Coturnix japonica: one gene and its partner. The protein of the gene in region 1 purifies or fractionates together with the protein of each later gene. This does not show direct contact. Links are inferred from orthologs where the notes say so. Each region holds a gene or a part of one and is shown in the gene's direction. Other genes may lie near its edges.

Region 1 (10,827 bases):
AGTTTGCTTGCTTGTTCCTTCTACATCCTTGTGATTCGATGCGAAGTGGAGTTTGGCCATAGGACTTGAGTGTGTGTTGTGGTGGATTTCACTGTGTTGGTTTATAACTGAGCCTTTGCGGAAGGAATACAGTCCCTGGCCTCTCTGAGAAAGCCTACAGTGTAACTCAGTCTTGTATTACTCAAATCCCATTTGCCATTCTCGCTACAGTACTCTCATTGCAGTTGGGGGTGCTTGTTAATACAGCATCAAGGCTTCAGTCCTGGGGTAATGATTTCAATCTTGACTGCTTTTGAATCTCATCTTTCCCCAGATAGCTTTTTCTCCCTTCTACTACTGTACGTTACAAGGTGAGTCAGTGGGAGACAGGTACAAAAGGTACCACTATTGTTCACACAAACTGCTTCTCAGTTTGTCACAAAGCCTGTGAAATACCCAGTGGCACCAGGCAGCTGCTGTGACCTTGTTGTGCAACACTCATGTCACTGCTGCTGTGGGCTGCCTCATGGTCTGAAATGTGACCTGGGACCATCATCACAGTTAATACTGGTATCTCTGAGACATTGTGCGTTCAGCCTTTTGGGCACCAGGAAGCTACAAGTAATAACAGCGTGAGTAAAGGAAGCACGACTTGGATTATGCTTACTTGTGCCCTGGAGGTTTCTCTCAGGCAGTTGCCATCCATTTGTATGCTCAGACAACTGACAATCAATTTGTTGTAAAGCAGCCTTATTTTTAGTTAGCGTGGAGTCACAGCTGGGCTCTGTTTTGGCATTCCCTCTATCTAAAGTTGTTTCTGGCTGGGGACGTTTCTCTAACTTCATTGCTAGACCTAGAAATGAAGAGCAGCGTGTGCAGTAGTGTGTAAGTCTGAATTGCAGCACCCTGATTCTTCTTATATTGCAACTGCCTTCTCTTACAGTTATTCTTTGCCTCACTTCTTCCTCTCTTCCCTCCCTTTCTTTCCTCGCTGTCCCTGACAGAATGGCTTTGAGCCTCTCTTTGTGTTTGAGATTGACAATAACACCAATACCATTAAGAGAAGGCCAGGGACTCGCAAACAGGTGAAGAGCATGCACTGTGTTGCTGTTGTGCTTCTCTTACCCTCTGTGTGCTGTGTTCCCCCCTTTGCCCAGTGCTGGGTTTGTGGATCGTGACTGCTGCCTGTTGGTCTGTGTCAAGGTTGTCTTGCTCATGTTGTACAGGTATAAAGTTGCATTGCTGTCACAGACCGCCACCACTTGCTTTATTTTGCTTTTTGCTATATTAGCTGATGTTACATTTGCTGAAATAATGTTTTGTAAAGCAAGCAAACAAAAACAGCAAAAAAAAGTTAGCTCTGCACTGCTGCAGAGGAGGCTGTTCTGAGGATCAGCTGCTGCCTGTGTGTGGCATGAAGGTGTCTGTGTAAGGTTTGCCCTGTTTGTAACATCTCCTTCCATGTGTAATTCACAAAGACCAGCATTAGGTACTGGTGGCAGAACAAACGTGTGTCCTTTAGCTTTGCTTCTGATGCCACTTTGTGCTGTGTAAAAAAGGAAAGTTTCACCTGCCAAACTCATTAGCCAGAAAGTTCAGGAGGACAGGAAAGCTTTAACCTTAGTTTGAAAAGTAAATACCTGTTGTGTCTGTCCTTTGCTTTTTAAGTGTTTCTGAGCACGTAACCATGATCACCTCCTCCATCCTGACTTGGCTACTCAGTTCTACCTGTGTGTGTGCCCTACCAGCTGCTTGCTAACACTGCTGCTGCCTTCTCTTTCTTTCTGCATTCAGTCCCTCTCAGGGTTGAATCAAGACAGCTGTGCTACTGCCCTGCCTAACACCTCTGCCCTCAGTCCTGCCAAGGTATCTCTTGCTATTATCATTCACCAATAAATCCAACAAAAAACTTGGGTCCACACATCTGCTTTTACAGGTGTTGGTATGTCAGCTTCTGGTCAGAAGTTCAGGTAGGGTATGAATCTGATTTACCTGGTTAGATTGTAGTAGCTGTGACCTCATCTTAGCTTCAGGCTGTGTCCAAGCTAAAAAGCATGGTAACCCATCTGCTCCAAGGGGTTCCTCATTGGCTTTGATGTTGCTTTTTATTTACAATATGATTTTCTCGTAACCAAGCTGAGTTTATCAGAAGTATTTCTTTTGCATTCTTTTCTGGCTTGCTTTTCCCACTGAGTATAGGCGTCCTATAACTTTCTTTTGTGGCAGCTGCTATTCTGAATGAGACATTGGTCTGTGTTTTACTGCAGTGCTTAAGTACGTTGTATTTCACTAGGGAAGGGGATATCCAGTGAGTTTTGCATTGTCAGAGGTGTCATAGAGGCTCTGTATTCTTATCCATGCTGCTGTTATGCAAGTTTTGCATGTTTTTTAATCAGCTGTTTTTGCTGTGCCCCCTCTGCAAAGAATATTGAACATCTTGGTGAGAAGGAGGGATAAACAAAGAGAGCATTGTGCTGTCGGTGCTGCTTCACCACTTCTTCCTCAGAAAAGAGTAATTGTGGCATTTCTGCAAAGGAAAAAAAAAGTTTAGCTGCTTTCTGCAGAGATGAGACGAACAACGTGTTGTGTTTTTCACAGCTGGCTCTTTGTTCTGTAGTATGTTTCAATGGATGATGCCTCTTATCAGACACAGCAAATAGTACAAACGTAGTCACAACTTCTTCCACATTAAGACCATTTATGCTCTTCTACTTTTTTGCCTACAGAGCGATGACAGATCCACCATCTCTCCTGGCTCACCCACCACTCAGACAGGTAACAGGGAAAGGAAGCAAAGCTGCTGTAAAACAAGGTCAAAATATCTGCCCGCACATTTGTGCTATGAGGAGAAGGGAGCACTGTGTGTGGCACTGCTGTGTTTGAGAGCTTACCCTCTTATTTGGGTCTCCTTGAAAACACACGAGGGGAGAGGCAGCAGGGCTGGAGCGTGTCCTCAGGGACAGTGTAGGCTTTGGCCCCCAGATTCATTCAGCAGCAGTCAGAACAGTTGTTGGAAGTGGTATGTGGAATGTGCTTTGCATGGCAAGTGTCCTTGAAAGTGCCTTTTCCTGCCCTTTGCTTTTATCATGCATGCACGTAAATTATTTTGTCATGATATTAAAATTTAGTTTGTTCTTTTTAATTACCACGTTGCTGAACCCATTTCCTATTTAAACTCTAACCGTTTCCTTCTTCCTCATTTCCTTTCCTGTGCCTTCCCACATTTGTTTAGTCCACCTTTCCCCTCCGCATCCTGGTCATGCAGCCCTGCCTTCCTATAGAAACCCTTCCCAGCGACCCGAGAGTTTCCTTTTCCGAGCAGCTGTCAGGGATGAAGCAAACAAAGGTAGGTTGTGTAACTCAGCAATGAGCTCGTTTTGCATTACGTTTTATTAACATCGGCCTTACCCAGGTTTTTCGCTGCTCTGTTACTTTAGGTCATTATCAACAAAGTATTTTAGGGTTTCATTTGTAGCCATGTGGCATTATAAATACTTGTGGAATTAATATTGTAATTGTGAAAAGTTGGGAATCTATTCTTCTTGGTCCTTGTCCTTACGCCTAAAAAATAGCAAGGAAATGCCACACAGGCCTTCAACGAGTTATAACGGCAGCTCAATGGATTTTGCACTGTGTGTAGCAGCATAAGACAAAACTGGAAAGTCTGTGGAAAGCCTGAACTCTTTCAACATATTTCATCTGTCAAAACTTTGTCCTCTTTTTTTGGGAATGAAATGATTAGTAGCCAAGAGAAACAACAAAATCTAAGGGGAAAAGGAGATGTATTAGGAAACACCTCATTTAGATTAGCAGGTCATTAGTTTGTTAGGTTAATAGGCTTATTAAAGAAGCAGATTTGTGAAAAGGGATGCCCTGTACCCGTTCTGGAACACTGTACATGTGTAATGCAGCAGATGAGGGCAGTCAGCCAAACCATACTTACCCATTGCTCTTCATGCTGTTTTTTCAGTGGTTGCTTCATCGTCTTCCCGTGCCTTGTCTCCTGCTAATGATTCTGCAGACACCAGAGTTAGGCAGAGCTCCAGGCAGCGTGAGGAGGAGCTGGAGCTGATAGAGCAGCTACGTAAGGTAAGTGCTGACAAAACCAGTGAACCTCTCAGTCAATGTGTTGTGTGCCAGCATGTTAAAGCTGCCCTTGTGTTCTGGACTGATTGCACTGAACCAATTATGAACCAATTATGGTGAGGAGTTGACCGAAATGGAATAGCGCTGTGCAATCTGAGTGTATCTTTCTGATGGATGCAGTGCTGGCTTTTATTGTGGATAAAGTTAGATTCAGCTGCAGTGAAATACACAGCACTAACTCCTGCTTCTGACTGGCTAGTGATCTTTGCTTTTAGAAGGATCACATGCTTTCTTCCCTATCGCCCTTCATGCTTGCAGGGAGTTCCCTCAGTGTCTTTCTTTCTTATCTCTTTCTAAAAATTCACCTTTGCTGTAAAGCCTATAGAAAAGCAGGTGGCACACAGAGGCTGCTGCTTTCCTTGTGTGCTGTGAATCTACCTGTTGGCTCTCACTTTATCTTCAGTTAATTGTAGAATATCTGTGGCAAAAATATTCCCTACATTCAGGCTTTTCGTTTGTTGAGGGCCAGTATGCCCTGGTTTGTGCCCATGACAGTGGCTAATATTGAGTATGCCACAGGGCATTAAGGTACTGCTCTGCTTTGCCTCAGGCAAACTTGCACTGTCTGTGGAGGGATTCCTTGAAGTGGTTCAGCGCTCTGAACTTTCTCAGTAAATGAGAATTCCTCTTTCTAAAGCTGATTTTAAAAGCCGTAAGCATCCCAGATAGCCAGGAAGCTCATTTCTCTGCAGATTGTCAGAGTAAGGGTCAATCTGCTCTCTCTGAAAGGAGAAAGCTCTCTTAAGTAAAATGAAACAAAGCTCAGCTTTAGTCTTTCATCTCTTATCTCGGAATGCTTTACATGCAGTCTCTCTCTTGTTCTGCTTCCTAGGTAAGATTAAATCTTTTCTATATATAATCCCCTGTGCTGTGCAAAGAAAACTGTTCATCATTGAACTCAAGGGCTCCCAGATTGTGTTCAGCTCTGGCCCAGCGCAGTGCAGAACCTGTCTTGGTGTTACTCAGAAAGCTGTTCTAAACAGTTTGGTGAATAAGCAGGGAGTTGTAACACAAATGCTTCTGCTCTTATAAAATGTTCCACAGACTGAAACAGTCAGAGGAAACCAGCACTTACTTTCTGTGTCCATGTTCATTTTGCACAGAATATTGAGTCACGGCTGAAAGTGTCCCTGCCCAGTGATCTTGGAGCAGCTCTCACCGATGGCGTTGTTCTGTGCCACCTGGCTAACCACGTCCGTCCTCGGTCTGTCCCGAGCATCCACGTCCCCTCACCTGCTGTTGTAAGTATATCAGAATGACAGTGTTTTGTCGGTGTCCAAAACCCTTCCAGCAAAGATCTGTAATCCATGCAAATGTGTAATTCATTATTTTCCTTTGTGAACATACATGACGACTGTTCTGTCTGTAGAGTATCTGCGGTTTCATTTAAAACCTTCTTACTTCTGATTCTCTGCGTTATTTGGGATCCTGCTACACAGAGCAGCAAGAGCAAGCAAAGAGGCCAAAATGATTTTTGTATCCATTTCACAGCACTGCAAATTTCTCTGCTTAGGAGTGTCAGCAGAGCACGCTTGAGCTGTGTTTTCACATGCTTGGAGAGCACCACCGTCTCCTGGAACAAAGTAATCCACTCATATGTTTGTGATAACAGGAGGGAAAAAAGTTTGTTATATATGGGGGCTGTTCAGAGCAAGGGGAGAAGTTCAAGAGAAGTTGGGCAATGGAGGAACTTGTTCCTCTTACCTGACTGCAGTGTTTTTAAGGCAATGGAGTTGATACGTTACTGTGTGTTATTGTTCTGTATCATGCTGGGAGAGCACGGAATTAAAGTGAGATGAAGAGCTGTGACACAACGACAAATTAATTACATGATCTGTCAGCCAAATAATTAACGTGTATTTTGCTGTCAGAAAGTTCAGTGAAAACGTTTAGGATCAGCTACCTGTAAATACAATGGAGAGACAAACTGCTCGTGATGCACCTTCACATCATCTTAACATTATACAAACGGGGAAGAAGTCTTTTTTTGCTGCGGGAAGAGTTTAAAACAAGCACATTGTTTGCTTCTACTTATTTTGGAGTCAGTCCTTGTGTTGGTTGGAATTTGAACTGGCACTTACAGGGCTGTGTACTGTATCATTGTGGTTCCTCCTGCTTGGAATTATGTGAACAAGGAGATGTCTTCATTATTTTGAGAACGACTGAGCTGGACACGCCAGTATTTTAGGCAGATTGTGGAATCGTTAAGAGAAATGCAGACAGCTGCTATTCAACAAGACTTGAGTTGTCAAGAATATCTTCTCAATGGCCTGGTTTTATGTGCTGTGAATATTCTGAGCTACAAGTTAAATCATGGCTTTGTCATAAATGTCACAGAAGAGGCAGCCTGTGGCTGGACGGCTCCAGCAGCAGAAGAGGCATCGTGTCTTTCCTCAGTCACAATGTGATCTTTGTGCTCCCTCCATCCTGCAGGAGAAAGAAAGCAGCAATAGCCTTTAACCTGCTTTCTTGGTGAGGAACATAGCAGGCTGAGGGGGCAGAGGAAGAGCCCCAACCGTCTGCTTTCCCCCCTCTGAAGGAAAAACACTGAGTTTGCAGAGGCTGCTGCTGCGCACATTGTGGGGAGCTTGTGTGAAGGAACAGGAAGCTCGTGTCTCTTTAATCAGAAAAGAATAAGCTTCGGGAACAGAAACAAGACAGAGCCTGTGCAGTGCTAGTTCTGTGTAGAGGTGAGGAAGCCAACTACGCAGAAAAAACTTACTTGAGAAGTGCCAGTGAATTCATCTGCAATAGGCTTGTATGCAGCAAGTCGCTGTGCCAGTTGTATTCCGTCATCTTCTGGGTTCATCTAGCCTTCATTTGGTATCTCCTCCTTAATTGAAACAAGATTTTCAGTATCTTTTTAATGTAGCAACCCAGAATGGACTCCAGGTTGCTTCGTATCATTAAATTGTGCTGAAATCACAGCACAGGTGCTACGTATGTGTATGTTTCATTCGGTATATCTTAAATTATCACATTGCAGTCACTAAAAGTGTTAGCCTGTTTTATGTGTATCAGTACAGTGCAGGTTAGAGTTGTCTTAAGAAATCATCCCGTATTCATAAATTGGCTTTTCAGAAAGCTCAGAACTTGCCTTTCTGAAGCAAAGTGCAGCACAACCTGGTTTGAATTATACAAACTTACTGCGGTGTGATATTTTTTGGCAAAGAGTTTTATTAAGAGTTCCATTAAGATACAAAATCCTTCCAATTAAGAGCACCTTGCCTGCTTCTTTTGCAGCCTAAGCTTACAATGGCGAAATGCAGACGGAACGTGGAGAACTTCTTGGACGCCTGCAGGAGGATCGGGGTGCCTCAGGTACATTTCTCTGCTGTTCTGACGTTGTGGTGCAGATGTGATTTTGTAGATGATCAGGAAAACAAAAATAGAACATTTCTTGAAGCGTTTGATGAAAGTAAGGTGATTCAAAGTTTAGAAGGTCCACATGCGAGTTATGCCTTACTGTATAGGTAAGACCTTGCGTTGTCTTTTCTGGTAAAAAGAAGCTGGGTGTAGTTAATCTCCCAGAAGTCTGATTCGCTGACTGCTGTGCCTTAAGTTTGTAACAGCTGGGTGCAGCTTGAGCCTGGCTTTAGAACTGCAAGGTGCTTGGTAAAGATGGTTCAGTTTTCTCAATATTAGGTATTTGGCAGCTTAAAAGTGGGATAAAATTTGGATGATATTTTGCATGTGTGACTTCAATTCCAAAGCATTTGATGTTCCTTCAGAATAATCCTTCTGTGTGAACATCTGTACCATCTTGCCAAGGAGTCTCGCTGTTATTGGCCTTTCTCTGACAGTAGCTGTCTTTGCATAGATCCTCATTCTTTCTGCCATGTACTAGAGGTAGAACTGGTTTTCTTTCTCCCCTCTGAAATGGGTCCTGTTACTGTGTTTTATGCTGTCCTGTCCTTTCCACTTTGTCTTATCCAGCAGCTGCCTCAATACAAATGATTTCAGTAGGTCACGTTTGTTCTTTATTTTTCTTCTGGCGTATAAATGTGATTGGTTTCCTACACAGCTTTATACATACACAGTGTTTCTGTTGTAGGTGCTGTTTTCATATTTGTGCATTGTGAAAGGGAAAAGTAGACCCAGTGGCTCATTTCCCTGCTGTTTCTAAAAGCAGTGCTCGCAAGTCAGCAATGCTGATAGCTTCACACAAAGGCATTTGAGCCAGTGGGATTTTAGGATAGTGTATTTGTTGAGCTGCCCAGCAGTTTCACATGACTCACTGGTGAATGGTGTTGGAACATGGTGGGAAGTCATAAGTGATCATTCATGTTTTGAGATGATATTTTAGTCCTCTAAGAAACTGGAGCCTGTGACTCCCAGCAGGACTGTACAGTATAAATCCTTCTGGGGCACAGTGGTTCAATCTCATTGCAGCTTCCCTGTTCACAGCTCCCTTCGACACAGAGATGTAATTTTTTATGGGGTTTGAGTGCAGAGCTGTTCTCTGAAATGTCACACATTTAGGAACAAAAAGAAGAGCACTCAGGCAAAGAGTCTCCTGTAGACCCAGTCTGCTCCATCTACTGCACCTTCTGCTTAGGATCCTCCTGTTTTTCTCAGTTCTCCTGCTTTAATGTGAAGGAGTTCAGGGAGAATGTCTCTGGGGAAACACACTGAAATACCCCCAGCTGGATTCTAAAGCTGCTCTCACATGTCTGCATTGCATGTCTGCTGAGATGAGAAGGTCAGATATCAGTAAGGAGGAGCGGCATGGCAGCCTATAATGTATTTCTGCTGATGCCTGCAGCTATTTCTGTTTGTTTAAATTCCAGTTACAAAAACGAAGGGCTTTCTGGAAGTGTGGATCTATGTAGAAATACCTCCTAAGAGGTATTAATGGAACCTGTATGTTCCAGGCTGAGCACTGTGTATCTGCATTGGGCGTTCTTTGAAATGGGACTTGCACAGATTGCTTTGTGAGATATAACCGTGTTACGCTTCTTGAACATGTAGCTGTATCTGAAATGTCTGACGCTGCTTAGTGGATGTTGCTATGGCTAACTGACCTTTTTTTCTGTCTGTTTTCCCTTCCTGCTTACACACTCTGGACAGGACAATCTTTGTTCCCCTTCTGACATTCTTCAGCTAAACCTCAGCGTTAAAAGAACAGTTGAGACTCTTCTTTCCCTGGGGACAGATTCAGAAGAATCCAGTCTTGTCTCCCTTTCTGTTCAGCTCTGGGGCTTTGTGGTGTTTTACTGTACTCTGATGCTAACGCTCTGTATGGTCTATCGCTGGGTCTTTTTCCTCTAGCTGAGGGACAGTGCTGCTGTTTCCTCCCTCCATCGCTCCAGTTCTCTGTAAAGGATTTTGGGTTTTGTCAAGACCGCGTGTACAAAGTGCTTTTTCTCACTGATGGGAAAGAAGCAACAGAGGTGACACAGGCAATGTGTAAACACATTGGTGCATCCACACAACCATGTGATGTAACTCACGCTCGTGTTTACTGTGTGATGTTGAGCAGATGTGATGCTGGGGGAGGAGGTGCTGTGTGTGGGCTGGAGCAGGGGGCTGAGCTTTAGGGCCACGTAGGTGTGTGCTATGGGCTGACTGCTGGCAAAGGATCTAGCACTGGGAAAACTGCACTGTCAGTTTGTGCCTCAGTTTCCCTGTCTGTATCATAAGAACTGCTCCCAGGTTGGTCAATTGCTTCGGGATTTATGTGATGAAAGAAGCATTAAACAACACAATGTATTTTGAACATCAGTGGCCTTGATTAGATCTCACAGTCTTAGAGACGTGGTCTGATCAGCTTTGTCCACAAGATCCTGGGATTGTTTTCCTCAGATCCCAGCCCCATATCCCAGCTGCTGAGAGGACCTGACCTTCCTGTTGGTAGAGTCCCATGTTTTATGTGTCAGTCCAGGGTTTTAAAGTAGCTGTCCATCAATCCTGAGCTTCTTGAGCTTCATAACTGATCTAAGAGGAGATGTGCAGAGAAACTGAACTCCCTGAAAGAAAACATTTCTGGCACAGAAGGAAGAATCCTTTGGGTTCTGTCAGATGTCGTGGGGTTGCCACAGCATTTTGCTGTGCCCCGGATAACACTTAACAAAGATTTCCTGTGTTGCCACTCAATTGTGGAAGCCTCAAACCACACTTCTTCCTCTTCCTATCTGCTTATTTGCAGAAACCTTGCTATCACACAGTTGTGATACACGACCTGGCTGTGTGTTCAGCTCCCTCTTTACTGTTACACAGATCTCAGGTAGTTCTCTACACAGCTTTAAGCTTTTCCCTCCTCTGGAGAAGCATCCTGGTGCTTTAATGTGTTTCTCAGGGACACCTCAGGATTCGAGGGCATTGCCCACACCACGTCTGCTCACAGTGTAGGTTGGTTCAGGGAGCTCTGCTCAGTGGTAGGTGCAGGTAAGTGCTGGTACCAGGCCTGTTCTGAATGGGACTTCAGTACCTGTTTGTTACACATGAAGGTGCAGTCGGTGTTTTGTAAGCCCTGTTTAAGTGCTGATGGCATTCCTGCATTAACCTGACAGCAACTCTGAAGCACAATTTAAGCTACACGGGAGTTTAGTTGCAATTATAGTCACTGCCAGTAAAAACGTCTTACGTGTACGTGGAGCTCACAAGCTCTTGTAACATAAAGTGAGTATTTAGCAAAGGAGCAAGTGGAGGAGCTGGTGCCCTCATCCCAACCCACACTGTGACTGGCACAAAACATTCTGC
Region 2 (10,827 bases), on another chromosome or scaffold:
CACTGTGTGATGTGAGGTACATCTCAAATGAGAACTTTCTATTTCAGACGGGGACAGGCAGCCATTTCCATCATGGCGGACACCCAGCGCATGCGCACCGCGCTTTCCGCCATCTTGCGCGCCGCTCTGTCCCGACAGTCCTCCACACACTCTATGGAAGGTTGCGTGCCTCCGTAGCGATGGCGTGGGCGGGAGGAGCTTGTGGCGCCGCTTGGTCCCGTCAGGCCACGCGCGGTGGTTGCGGCCTTGTGGCGGCTCCAGAAGTTTCCTGGGGGAGGGATGGCGGCGGCTGCAGAAGCAGCGGCTCGGTGAGCACCCAGCTCAACACCCCGCTCCTTCCTCCCTGCCCGCTCCTTCTTCATCCCCGCCTCCTCACGGCGTTGTGTTTCCTCGGCAGGTTCTCGGACGCGGACATCGATCGGGATCCGACGGCGGCGGCGCGGGTGAGAGCTGTGGGAGGGAGCTTATAGGGGGTCTTATAGGGGTGATGCCGCATCGCTGTGTGTAGGGGGTGGTTCGCTGTGCTGCCCTCTGTGTGTGGGGCCTGGCTGAGGTCTTGGGTTTGGTACAACTGGCTGCTCATTATCTGTGTTTTAACAGTGAACGGTGTGGGTCTGGGCAGGCTGGTCTACAGGCTGCAACCCTATGGCGGGGGGGGTTGAAACTGCATGATTTTTGAGGTCCTTTTCAACCCAGGCCGTTCTGTGATTCTATGATGATAAAGCCATAAGCTTGTGAGGTGAGGGTGACGGAGCACTGGAACAGGCTGCCCAGGGAGGTGGTGGAGTCTCCTTCTCTGGAGATATTCAAGACCCACCTGGACGCCTACCTGTGTGATGTGGTGTAGGGAGCCTGCTTTGGCAGGGGGTTGGACTCGATGATCTCTAGAGGTCCCTTCCAACCCCTACAATTGCCTGTCAGCTGCCCTGTGGCTGACTGTTCGAGTTGCTGTAATGTATGGTTTGTTTGGAGGAGTGTCTCAAAACAAAAGTTGTACTTCACTTCTCAGTGTTCCGTGATCCTGTTGGGTCTCCTCATGCTTCTCTTGTCTAGAATATCTGTCTACCACGAATGATGTCTGATCTTGAATGTATCCTTAATCATGTCTTTACAGTCAGATCTAGTGATGCTTTTTGTTGTAGCTCTTTCTGCCTCCTGTTTCTTCAGAGACCTCTGAGGTTTTAGATGTTTGTGCTGTACTTCTATGGAGTTTTGTACACCTGATGCTGCCACTGGAAGAAGCTGTTGTGGCCACGTAGTTCCTAGTGTAAGCATATAAATGAAAGAGAGCAGGATACCAATCTGAATTCAGACAGGCCCTGCTACTTTTCCTTTTTTCTCTGGCTTGGTGAGTTCTAGCAGCTGTGTTGTGCTAACATTTGTGCAGGCTTAAAGTCTATATCTTAGCTACCCTCATGCTTGCCAAATTCTGAATAGAAATTGAGCAAAGTTAGCAAACATGGTAACCGTACTGTTACTGTCTCACCCTCATAGCGAGGTATTTTTTTCCCTTCAGATGTGCTGAGAATTATAGGAAGGTTTTTGGAACATACAGGATTACCTGAGCATTCAGATTCCTATTTAAGGCATTGATGTTAGGGGGAAGTTCTTTTCTAGGAGATGTTAGCCTGGAAGACTGCAGGGAGGTTTGTGGATCCGTCCTTGGAGGTTCAGACAGGTTGAGCGCCCTGGCACCTTGTCTGTTAAAAGTTGTATGTTTGGTGGCCCTGCCAGGCGAGGGTTGGAAATATGTTCCTTGAGGTCCCTTCAACCGTTTCTGTGATTCTGTGATGTTCCCTTTCTGCAAGGAATAGCGTGTGTAACTGCAAGTTCTTATGCCTCAGTTGGCGTTAGCTTTCAGGTAAAACTGTCAATTAGGTCCTTCAGTGAGCTGGTCCAGGGTATTTTTTTTCTGACATCTTACTTGACAGAGTCCATTTTTAGATTATTGGGATCTTCCAAGGGTGCGGTTTCGGATTTCTTCACAGAGAACTGACAAGAGCTTTGGAAAGGAGTCCAGATGATGCCGAATATTACTGTCAACGAGCTTATGCCCACATTCTTCTACAGAACTACACTGTGAAACATCTTCAGGCAACTGACAATCCTCTTAAGAGGTCGTATTTGAAATTCTTTATAGTTTAGATGACTAGCTTTTAACAGTGTTGCTGTTAACTTTAGTTTGCTGTTTGCAGTTAGGATGTACTCGAGAGCCTTCCTTATCTTTGATTATTTTATATCTGCAAAACTTGCAGCCGAATCTGATGCTCTGCAATCCCAGTTGCTGTTTGAGTTTAGCACAGAACTGTCTTGGAACATTATTTTCAGGTTAGATTTTATGGTGATTTTAAGCTTTATGTTGTAAACTCTTCCAACCTTACATGCTCTTTTTGGTAGACACTGAAATCCAGTTGTGGTAGGAAGGTGATAACCTGCCACCCAGGTGTTATTTGGTTAACTGAATTAACATTTAGCCTAAATTGCCTGTCAACAATTAAGCAAAATAAGTAGATAAATCAGGCATCCTGGCTTGTATCAGGAATGTGGTGAAGCAGACTAGGGAAGTCATCCTGCCACTGGACTCGGCATTGTGGGCCTCACCTTGACGTACTGTGTTTCAGGGGGGCTTTGGGCACCTAGCACAGGAAGACATGAGGTGCAGGAGAGGTCCAGTAGGCAGCGAGGCTCCCGTGAAGGCTTGGAAAATCGACCTCAAGGAGAGGCTAAGGAGCTGGGCTGTTTAGTTGGGAAAAGGGCTGAGGGGAATTATCGCCTTATTCGTACCTTAAAGGTTTTAAGTGAAGAGTGGCAGGGTCTCTTCTCACTGGTGCAACGAGAGGGAAATGGCCATCAAGTTGCGCCAGGCATGTTTAGGTTGTGATTTAGGAGACTTCTGTACCCAGAAGTGTTAGGTACTGGAATTAGGCTCCCCAGGAGGTGGTTGACGCATCCCTGGATGTGTTTAGAGCCGTGTTTGGATGTGATGCTCAGGATATGATTTAGCAGAGGGTGTTTATGTTAGGGTGTGTTGAGTTGATGATCTTTCAAGGTCTTTCAACCTGTATTCAGTTCTATTGATGGGGTCAAGTTCGACTACAGTAGAGGATCTGACAGAGTGAAAGTCACCACTTCATCTTTTGTGGAGCTCTATAGCTGATTGAAGACTTCATCCATAGCATTGAGTGAATTAAATTCAGACAGTTTAATCTGTATGCAGGCTAAGAAAGCTAACATAATAGTGATATATATATTTTTGAGGCGTACTGAAATACTTGCATTTCATTGCTTTTCATACCGTTATAATGATCTTCACCTGTAAACTGACTTCCAACAGATGCAGTTGCAGATGCAAAGAAGTCCCTAGAGCTCAACCCCAGTAATGCCATAGCACTTCTTAGAAAAGGGTACGTATCATATGTGGTGCTCTGACAGTATTCTGATAAACTTCAGGACAATAACAGTATTTGCATTATTGCTCTATGGAATGAGTGAATTCCATGCCATGCTGCTTGTAACTCCTTTGTAATAAAGCTGTGGTTATAAGATAAAATGGATCTTTTGGTGTGGTTTGTTGTTTTCTTTGGAGGGAGGGGTGATGATGTTAACATCCCAACTATTCAAAAAACAGATTTCATAGGTGATTTAAATTCCAGCACATGTGGGGATGTTGTAATCTTCAGGATGTGAATTAGATTAGAAAGTAATTGCAGTTTCCTTGTGGTTTTTCTTTCTTCACGTCAGGTTAGGAGAATACCATATCAAAAACTATGCATCTGCTTTAGAGTCTTTCAAAGAGGGACAGAAGTTGGACAGTAAGTATTACCATTTCTTGTGTGCACAGCATTCCTTTGCTGATAAATGAAATTCTCTTAACGTATTAGCTGAAAATGGAGACCGTGTTAGTTGTTGGCTTTTGGTTTTTTGAAGGCTTAGGAATTAGGTGCCTGACTTGGGATACCTGGATCAGGTCTGACTTCTGGAGAGACTTGTGCAGTTGCTACATTTGGTTGTCTTTAAGAGCCGTGTGGATGTGGTGCTCAGGGATATGATTTAGTGGAGGGTTATTAGAGTTAGGGTTCTGGTTAGGCCGTGGTTGGACTTGATGATCTTCAAAGGCTTTTCCAACCTGGGTAATTCTATGATTCTATGGAAGTGTAAAACTGCTTAAAAATGCAAATGGAAATTTTAGCTGGTAGTGTATCATTTTCTTGCCTTGCAGAAAGGGGGTGTTTCCCTGTTTTCCAATTCCTCTCCATTGGTCTTGCAGGTAAATAGTGGCAATGGTGTGGCACTAAGCATCACAGGAAGGTTTTTGAGCTGAATTGTGTGTAATTGGGATTTGTAGTTGTTAAACTACCTGATGGGCTGGCCTTCAGAAAGGGCATACAGCATAGTGAGCATTCAACCTGACAGAGTGGATTTCAGCTCTCACTGCATAACAGAGGCATGTGTATGAGCTCTTTAAGGATATAAAGTGTTGGCAGTTGGAACTGCACACATTATCTGGGGGAGAATTAGAGCTTTCTAATAATATGACTTCCTTCTAGAAGCAGGAAAGAAATAGTTCAGCATGGAAAACTTTGGTGGAAGACCCTAGGAAGCATATAACAAAGTAATTTCTAGATGGTTACAGTTCCTTTATCTTTTTTCCTATTCCCCACACCAAATAAAATTCACCTCATTCAATTCCCTTTCTCAACAGCAGAAGGAAATCTTAAAAGCATCTTGAAAGGTTACTCAGAGCAAAGTGCACTGCTCTGATAAGCAATGTCATCATCTGGGATCTTTCAGTTCTATCATCCACACCGATGGCTGAGGCTGAAAGCTTTAGCGAAAATGGAATTGCTTGTTTGGGAGAGGCAAAGTAATCTGCTCCTCTGATCTAAAAGTGGAGTTTGATGGGGGTATAACTGGTTATGGTTCTTCCTGATTGGTGATTGTGCCCCCTCCCACTCTTATGTATTTGCAGGAAACTCATATATGTATATATGGTAGCCATGGTAATGGGAGGACAGTTGGACTCGATGATGTTGTAGGTCCTTTCTAACCTTGTGATGCTATGATTCTAGAAAACCTACCTGTTCATGTGTTGTTTTGCTGCTTGCCCAGTTGAAATCCTTCTAAAGCTTCCCTGATTGCTTCTGATTGCTTCTACCTCTGAAGCTTGCTTCTAAATGTCCTTCAGCATCGCAGGATTCTGTGACCTGGTGTGAGATGAGGGAGGTTCTTGGAGGCTTTCTTTAAAGCATAGATTTTTAGCTTTCCTGTTTTCCAACTTGCTGGCAAATTTACTTTCGAGGTTCTGTGGAGATGGTTGATGGCTCCCGGATGACAATAATTGTGAATGGAAGCATTTTGGCAAAGCAATTAACTTCCAGTTAAATGTAGGAAGAGTAAAACGAGCAAAGCTCAATGGGGAAAATTAGCTACGTATTGTAAGGCAGGTGATAAAGAGAGCAGACTGAGCTGTTGGTGCCTGATAGAGAATTGCTGCAGCAGGGAATTCTGTGCAGGCAGGGCTGGCTTCATTGCCACACAAGGGGGCAGACGTACACCATTACATGCCTCTGTTCCTTGCTGATGGAAGGTCTGCTGTTCATCTTGGGAATGTGATGTGGGTTTTAGGACAAATACATGTGAGAAATTTCATTGTGACCACCTATTTAATTTAGTAAAGATGGAATGGGTTAAATTTTTAAAGCAGATATATGTCCGAGTGAAGACTAAGGCTCTCTGAAAGTTATTCATAGTGTTGTTGGTAAGTTCTTTGAGAGAATAATTGCTGAGAGGAAAAGTCCTTCCCTCAGATTATGATGTGCTGGGATGCATGAGAAGAGGCAGATCTTCTAGGATAGTAGGGCTGGATTTTTCTGCTTGTATTGCATGGGCTTGTGGTTAGGCCCTGGAACAGGCTGCCCAGGGAGGTTGTGGATGCCCCGTCCTTGGAGGTGTTCAAGACCAGGTTGGACGGGGCCCTGGGCGTCGTGTTGGGTCACCTTTTTTCCTGACCATGGCATCTCTTTTGTGTCGTCTTTTTTCCCCTGCAGGCCTCACAGACAGAAGCGGTAAAGGTGTTTTTCCGTTAATATTGTTCTTGAATCATGTCTCAACATGCTTGTAGAATTCAAGTGCCTGCCTTTACAGCTTGTAGGACTGTAGGCAATGACATTCAAGTCTGGAAATTAACTGTGCGGCTCATTCAGGTGTTTTAACTGTGGCAAGTCCTGTGGTCACCAAACTCATATCAGCTTCATCTTGCTCCAACTTTCACGGCCGCTCGAAATGGTTTTTTCTCTGGTGGCCTCACCATGTGGGTTTCTGCAGACTTTTTTCAGCTGTACCTCAGACAAGTATATTTTCTAAATTGATCAATCTTAAAAAAAAAATGTCAAAATTGACCTTTTTTGAACGCCCAAAATGACTCTTTGCCTTTTAATATAATATTATATATAACTAAATGTAATACACTATCTTAGTAATTAGAGAGAGGGAGAAACTGTAACAGAAAATAAGGTGGGGTGTATATTAAAGACATACGATTTTGAAGGGGTTTTTATGTTTATTAAAAACTCTGCTGTTCGTTCTCAGACCTATTTTCAGGTTTACCTTTGTTGGACTCACAAGATGAAGCAACACGGGCCTGCTGTGTGGTCCCTTTTCAGGCTCTGTTTCTTAGCCAAGGAAGGAAAGAAATTTAAAAGCTTGATCTAGTTGTTATCTTCCAACCGTGTGGCTGTGTAATCTGGTAAGAGACACTGAGCGTGTGCGGTTGTCAGTCTGTAAATGGTAAACTTTTAAAGTCCTGTCACAACGTAAGTGAAGAATCTTCTTCTTTCTTCCATAAGTTAATGCACATACAGAAGAAATGTGATCAGTATGAAGATGATCTTGTATCCTTGTTCTTATATACTGTATCCCCTTAAAAAAAAATTAAAACCAAAACCTTTGAAATTTGCCCCCCTCTTCTATATTAACCCTTCATCTTTCCAATGCCAATATGCTTCGTCTAGAATACAAACAGCAACCTCTGTCATCCAAGATCAAGTAAGTTGACTTCAAGTATTGCTTGTGAGAAACTAAAATAACTGTCTACCTGTTCTTTGCTGGACCTGGGGCATTGGAGATACAAGATAATGACTGTAAAAATTCTGTAGACTGCCACTTTGTGAACGTTTCTTCTGAGTTGAGTTCTGTTCCTCACACAGTGTCACTGACTTTTGTTCTCGCTGGGGTGGGTGTGAATTGGAGTTAGTAACAATTCTACGCTTTCTGTTTTCTGGTTTATGAGCTTAATTCAAAGACTTGGCTCCATTGAGTGGCCCTTAATGTAGCTGTAACTGAATTTTGGGATGCTTTAAGATCCTGAAGTTCAAAAACGTGCTATTTCTAATTTATTCGAAGGCAGGCTTATAACATAATGGTAAGCTGATCCAATTTTCATAAATTCATTGATTAATCATTTTCTATTCAAATTTGTAACTGCTCTGCCTGGAAGGGGGGGGGGGTTTTTTGGGGGGGGCCCCTCCCCCTTTGGGGTTTTTTCTTTTTCTCTGCCCTTGCTTTGAACTATGCAATGCCAGCGTTCCTGCTTTCACTGTTGTGTGGGGGAATTGTGGGTTGTGGTTGTTTGGTTTTCTTTACTTGCTTTTAAATCATTCTCTAGAGCAACTATTTTTTCTTTTTTTTTTTAAAGGTAATGACTGGTACAAAACCAGAATCTCAAAGTAATTGGTTGGACTATCATGATCAAGATTGCGCAGAAGGATGGTGTCAGAGTGCAGTTTCTCAGAGAAAGAGGTGATTTATGCTATCGATAAGCAAATCTCTAGATTCCATGAGATGTAGTTCTACCAAATGATACTCACTTCTATTAAAAGCATGAGAAATGCTAGAAGCTGACTTCAGCTTTGAGCATCTTACATACAAGTTATGCAGTAGCTACCATGTATGCAGCACAAGTGGATTAGTTGCTATTTGCTACAGTGAGGTCTAATAGGACTTTACTCACAACATGCAGTGTGGCAAATACATGCAAGCAGAGGGAGCATCTGCCTTTTTCAGCATGCTTAGTTGAGGAAGTAGATCTGAAGCTCAAGTGTTTGATTGCGTATCTCTGTCTGTTCATACTTCCCAGAAATGCATTGAGCGGTACTCTCAAAGTAAGTTATATTAAAGTTCTTTACTGGGAGAGTGGGTTACGTCCCTTTGACTCTGTTTCCCTTTGCAGTGGGTAGCAATTATATGACACGCCTTAAAATGAAAGAGTTGAGGTGAATGCTTTGTAGAACTGCAGTGGAGCCACATTTTGTTTTGCGTGCGTGTTTTCTATTGGCTTTCTTTTAAGCTTCTTCAGACCCTCTGCAGGGAAGTTGGCTGCATGAACTTCCTCAAGGTGAATTCCAGCTATTGTAAAAAGATGGCGGCTTATCTGTACTTATTAGTTGGTCATTGCTGCAGCTTTATTTTTTTAAGCATTCCTGCTTGTGAAGGGTTTTTCTGGGAATAGTGTTGAAATGATGCACGCTCTGCTACCTTTTTAGCTGTTTTCCAGTGAGTTCATTTCCTCCTGGGAGCTTCTTCCTAAAATCATCGTGATCTTAATAATAAACTCTTCTGTGGTTTTGATTCGCAAAGTGAAATTGGCACCTACTTATTTCCAACATCCTTCTAACTGTAGATGTGCGTGTAAAGTATGTGTGAAACCACCAGGGGAAAATGCCTGGTGTTTGTGCACACTCACACCAACTGTGGGCTGCCCACAGAACATGGGGGGGGGGGTCTCTATATTTCTCTAGAGGGGCAGCATGTGATTGGGAAAAGAGAATGGAGAAGTGCTTCTAAGCAATAAGCAATACTTACTGCTTATACTCTTAGTGCTTATAAGCAATACTTCTCACTCTGTAAAAGTTACGTAGAGTTCAATTGGAAAGCAATGTCGTATATGGGTCAGTTGAGGGGGTTGGGGAGGGAGAAAGCCTAGTGTCTTAGAAATTAATTAAGTGTGTCAGAGTTAAATAGTGGAGCTGTAGAAAATTAAAACTTAATTTAAACTTAAACTTAAAAATTACCTGGAATGAGAGAGTTGACATGAAAGTACTTGGAAATAATACCATGATTTAATAAATCAATGTGAATTTGGGATGAATTTGTTCCAACTTGGGAGTTGAAAGGAACTGTTCTTTATGCATTGAGTGCATTACTCAAAGAGTTGTAATGCTAATGTGTTTGATCTCTTCTAGATGTAGATGATACCTTTACAATTTGGATTAAAAGATGTGAGGAAACGTTGAACGGTAAGAGAAAGCACATATACAAATTACAGGGTTTGATGTGTCCTGTTATATGAAGCTGTTTCATTTCTTTCTGAAGGGTTACTTTGTATTTAAACCAGAATTTTTATGTTTAAAAGGACGTTATGTTTTCTTATGCCTTGTTTCTCTTGCTTACATATCCTGAACTCCTCAGACTTAGGTGAGTATGCAGTGAAAGTTCAGACAACTGATTTTAACTGTTGAAGCATGTGTCAGCTTGCTTTCTAAATGCAATGTCAACGTTATTTTCTTCAAGATTTGAGAATTTAAGTGGGAAAGAGCAATGAAAATCACTTTGATTTCACGTGGAGAGTGCCTTTGGGTACTAATTGCTGCTCTGCTGTCTTAGTGATAGTCAGTGTGCACACAGCTTCCTTTTCTATCTTTCCACAGTTTGACACCCCTTGGCGGTGAACTCACCTGCAGTGCTTAACTGCCTGCTGGTTTTAATGGGCTGCGTTAGAAGAGCTGCCTCTTTTCTTCCTCCACCTGTTGTGACTTCTCCCCTCTTTCTGTTACTTACTGGAGAATGGGGCAGTAGGAGGAATGCGAGTTTCTATCAATGCGTTGCCTAAAAGCCAATTGCAGGAAAAGCAGTTTTCCAATGGTTTTTATCTTTTTAGCAGTGTGTGTTATAAGGGAAACAGGGAGTTTTTTCTTTGGAAACACTATTTGAAGAGAAACATTTACAAGAAGAAATACTGAGCTGCTGTTTACATTCAAGTGTTACGGTGTGTTTGAGGTTAAACCAGTGAATTTGTCTGCTTGGACTCCATCTCAGAATCACAGAATTATCAAGGATGGAAAAGACCTAGAAGATCATCCAGTCCAACCATTACCAATACTTCCCAGCTAAATCATATTCATCAACACAAAATCCAAACATTTCTTGAACACTCCCATGGTCGGTGACTCCACCACCTCCATGGGCAGTGCATTCCAATGCCTGACTACCCTTTCCGAGAAGTAATACTTCCTAATGTCCAGCCTGAATCTCCCCTGGTGCAGCTTAAAACCATTCCCTCTAGTTCTATCTCTCAATATATATATGTTCTGTATAAGGGATGGTCAAGCTAGCACAGACTTGCAGGATGTGATTTCCATTTTAGTTTTTGCCACAGTCTTGATTTCATTAAACGAAGGTCTGTATCCTTTTCTTGTAAGGAAAGCAAAGCAATGCAAAGGTTGTTCTTGCTGTTAATGGGAGCATGTTTTATATTGTATCTTTGCACAAGTTGGTTGTTGAAGTTGATAGCACAAAGAAAGCCTAATTAAAAATAGAGTGTCACTAAGGCTGCAAATGAAAGGTAAAGCTGGTATGTTTTTAACTTTGTACCATTGAGACTGGCATGAATGCAGAATGTCTGGAGTCAGTGAAGAAAAGTGAAATAAAAGTCGTGTTGGGTTCACTTTTTTCTGACCATGCATCTCTTTTTGTCTCTTTTTTTCCCTGCAGGCTCACAGACAGAAGCGGTAAGGTGTTTTCCTTAATATTGTCTTGAATCATGTCTCAAAC

What was found. Proteins that work in one complex are often made in the same cells at the same time.
Region 2: the proteins of LRCH3 (region 1) and SUGT1 purify together in Homo sapiens (co-immunoprecipitation; 3 studies listed by BioGRID and IntAct, counting the BioPlex papers as one, with this or other methods). This does not show direct contact. The link is inferred for Coturnix japonica from reciprocal best matches to the Homo sapiens genes LRCH3 and SUGT1.

The regions. Positions count from the first base shown.
Region 1 is NC_029524.1:13,147,961-13,158,787, forward strand, and holds part of LRCH3 (DISP complex protein LRCH3), read left to right. Parts: intron 1-983; coding exon 984-1,064; intron 1,065-1,773; coding exon 1,774-1,845; intron 1,846-2,705; coding exon 2,706-2,754; intron 2,755-3,211; coding exon 3,212-3,325; intron 3,326-3,949; coding exon 3,950-4,068; intron 4,069-5,228; coding exon 5,229-5,366; intron 5,367-7,368; coding exon 7,369-7,446; intron 7,447-9,195; coding exon 9,196-9,396; 3' UTR 9,397-10,827. UniProt on the Homo sapiens protein: As part of the DISP complex, may regulate the association of septins with actin and thereby regulate the actin cytoskeleton.
Region 2 is NC_029516.1:148,377,447-148,388,273, reverse strand, and holds the start of SUGT1 (protein SGT1 homolog), read left to right. Parts: upstream 1-178; 5' UTR 179-279; coding exon 280-308; intron 309-397; coding exon 398-443; intron 444-1,989; coding exon 1,990-2,079; intron 2,080-3,333; coding exon 3,334-3,404; intron 3,405-3,741; coding exon 3,742-3,812; intron 3,813-9,239; coding exon 9,240-9,293; intron 9,294-10,767; coding exon 10,768-10,784; intron 10,785-10,827. UniProt on the Homo sapiens protein: May play a role in ubiquitination and subsequent proteasomal degradation of target proteins.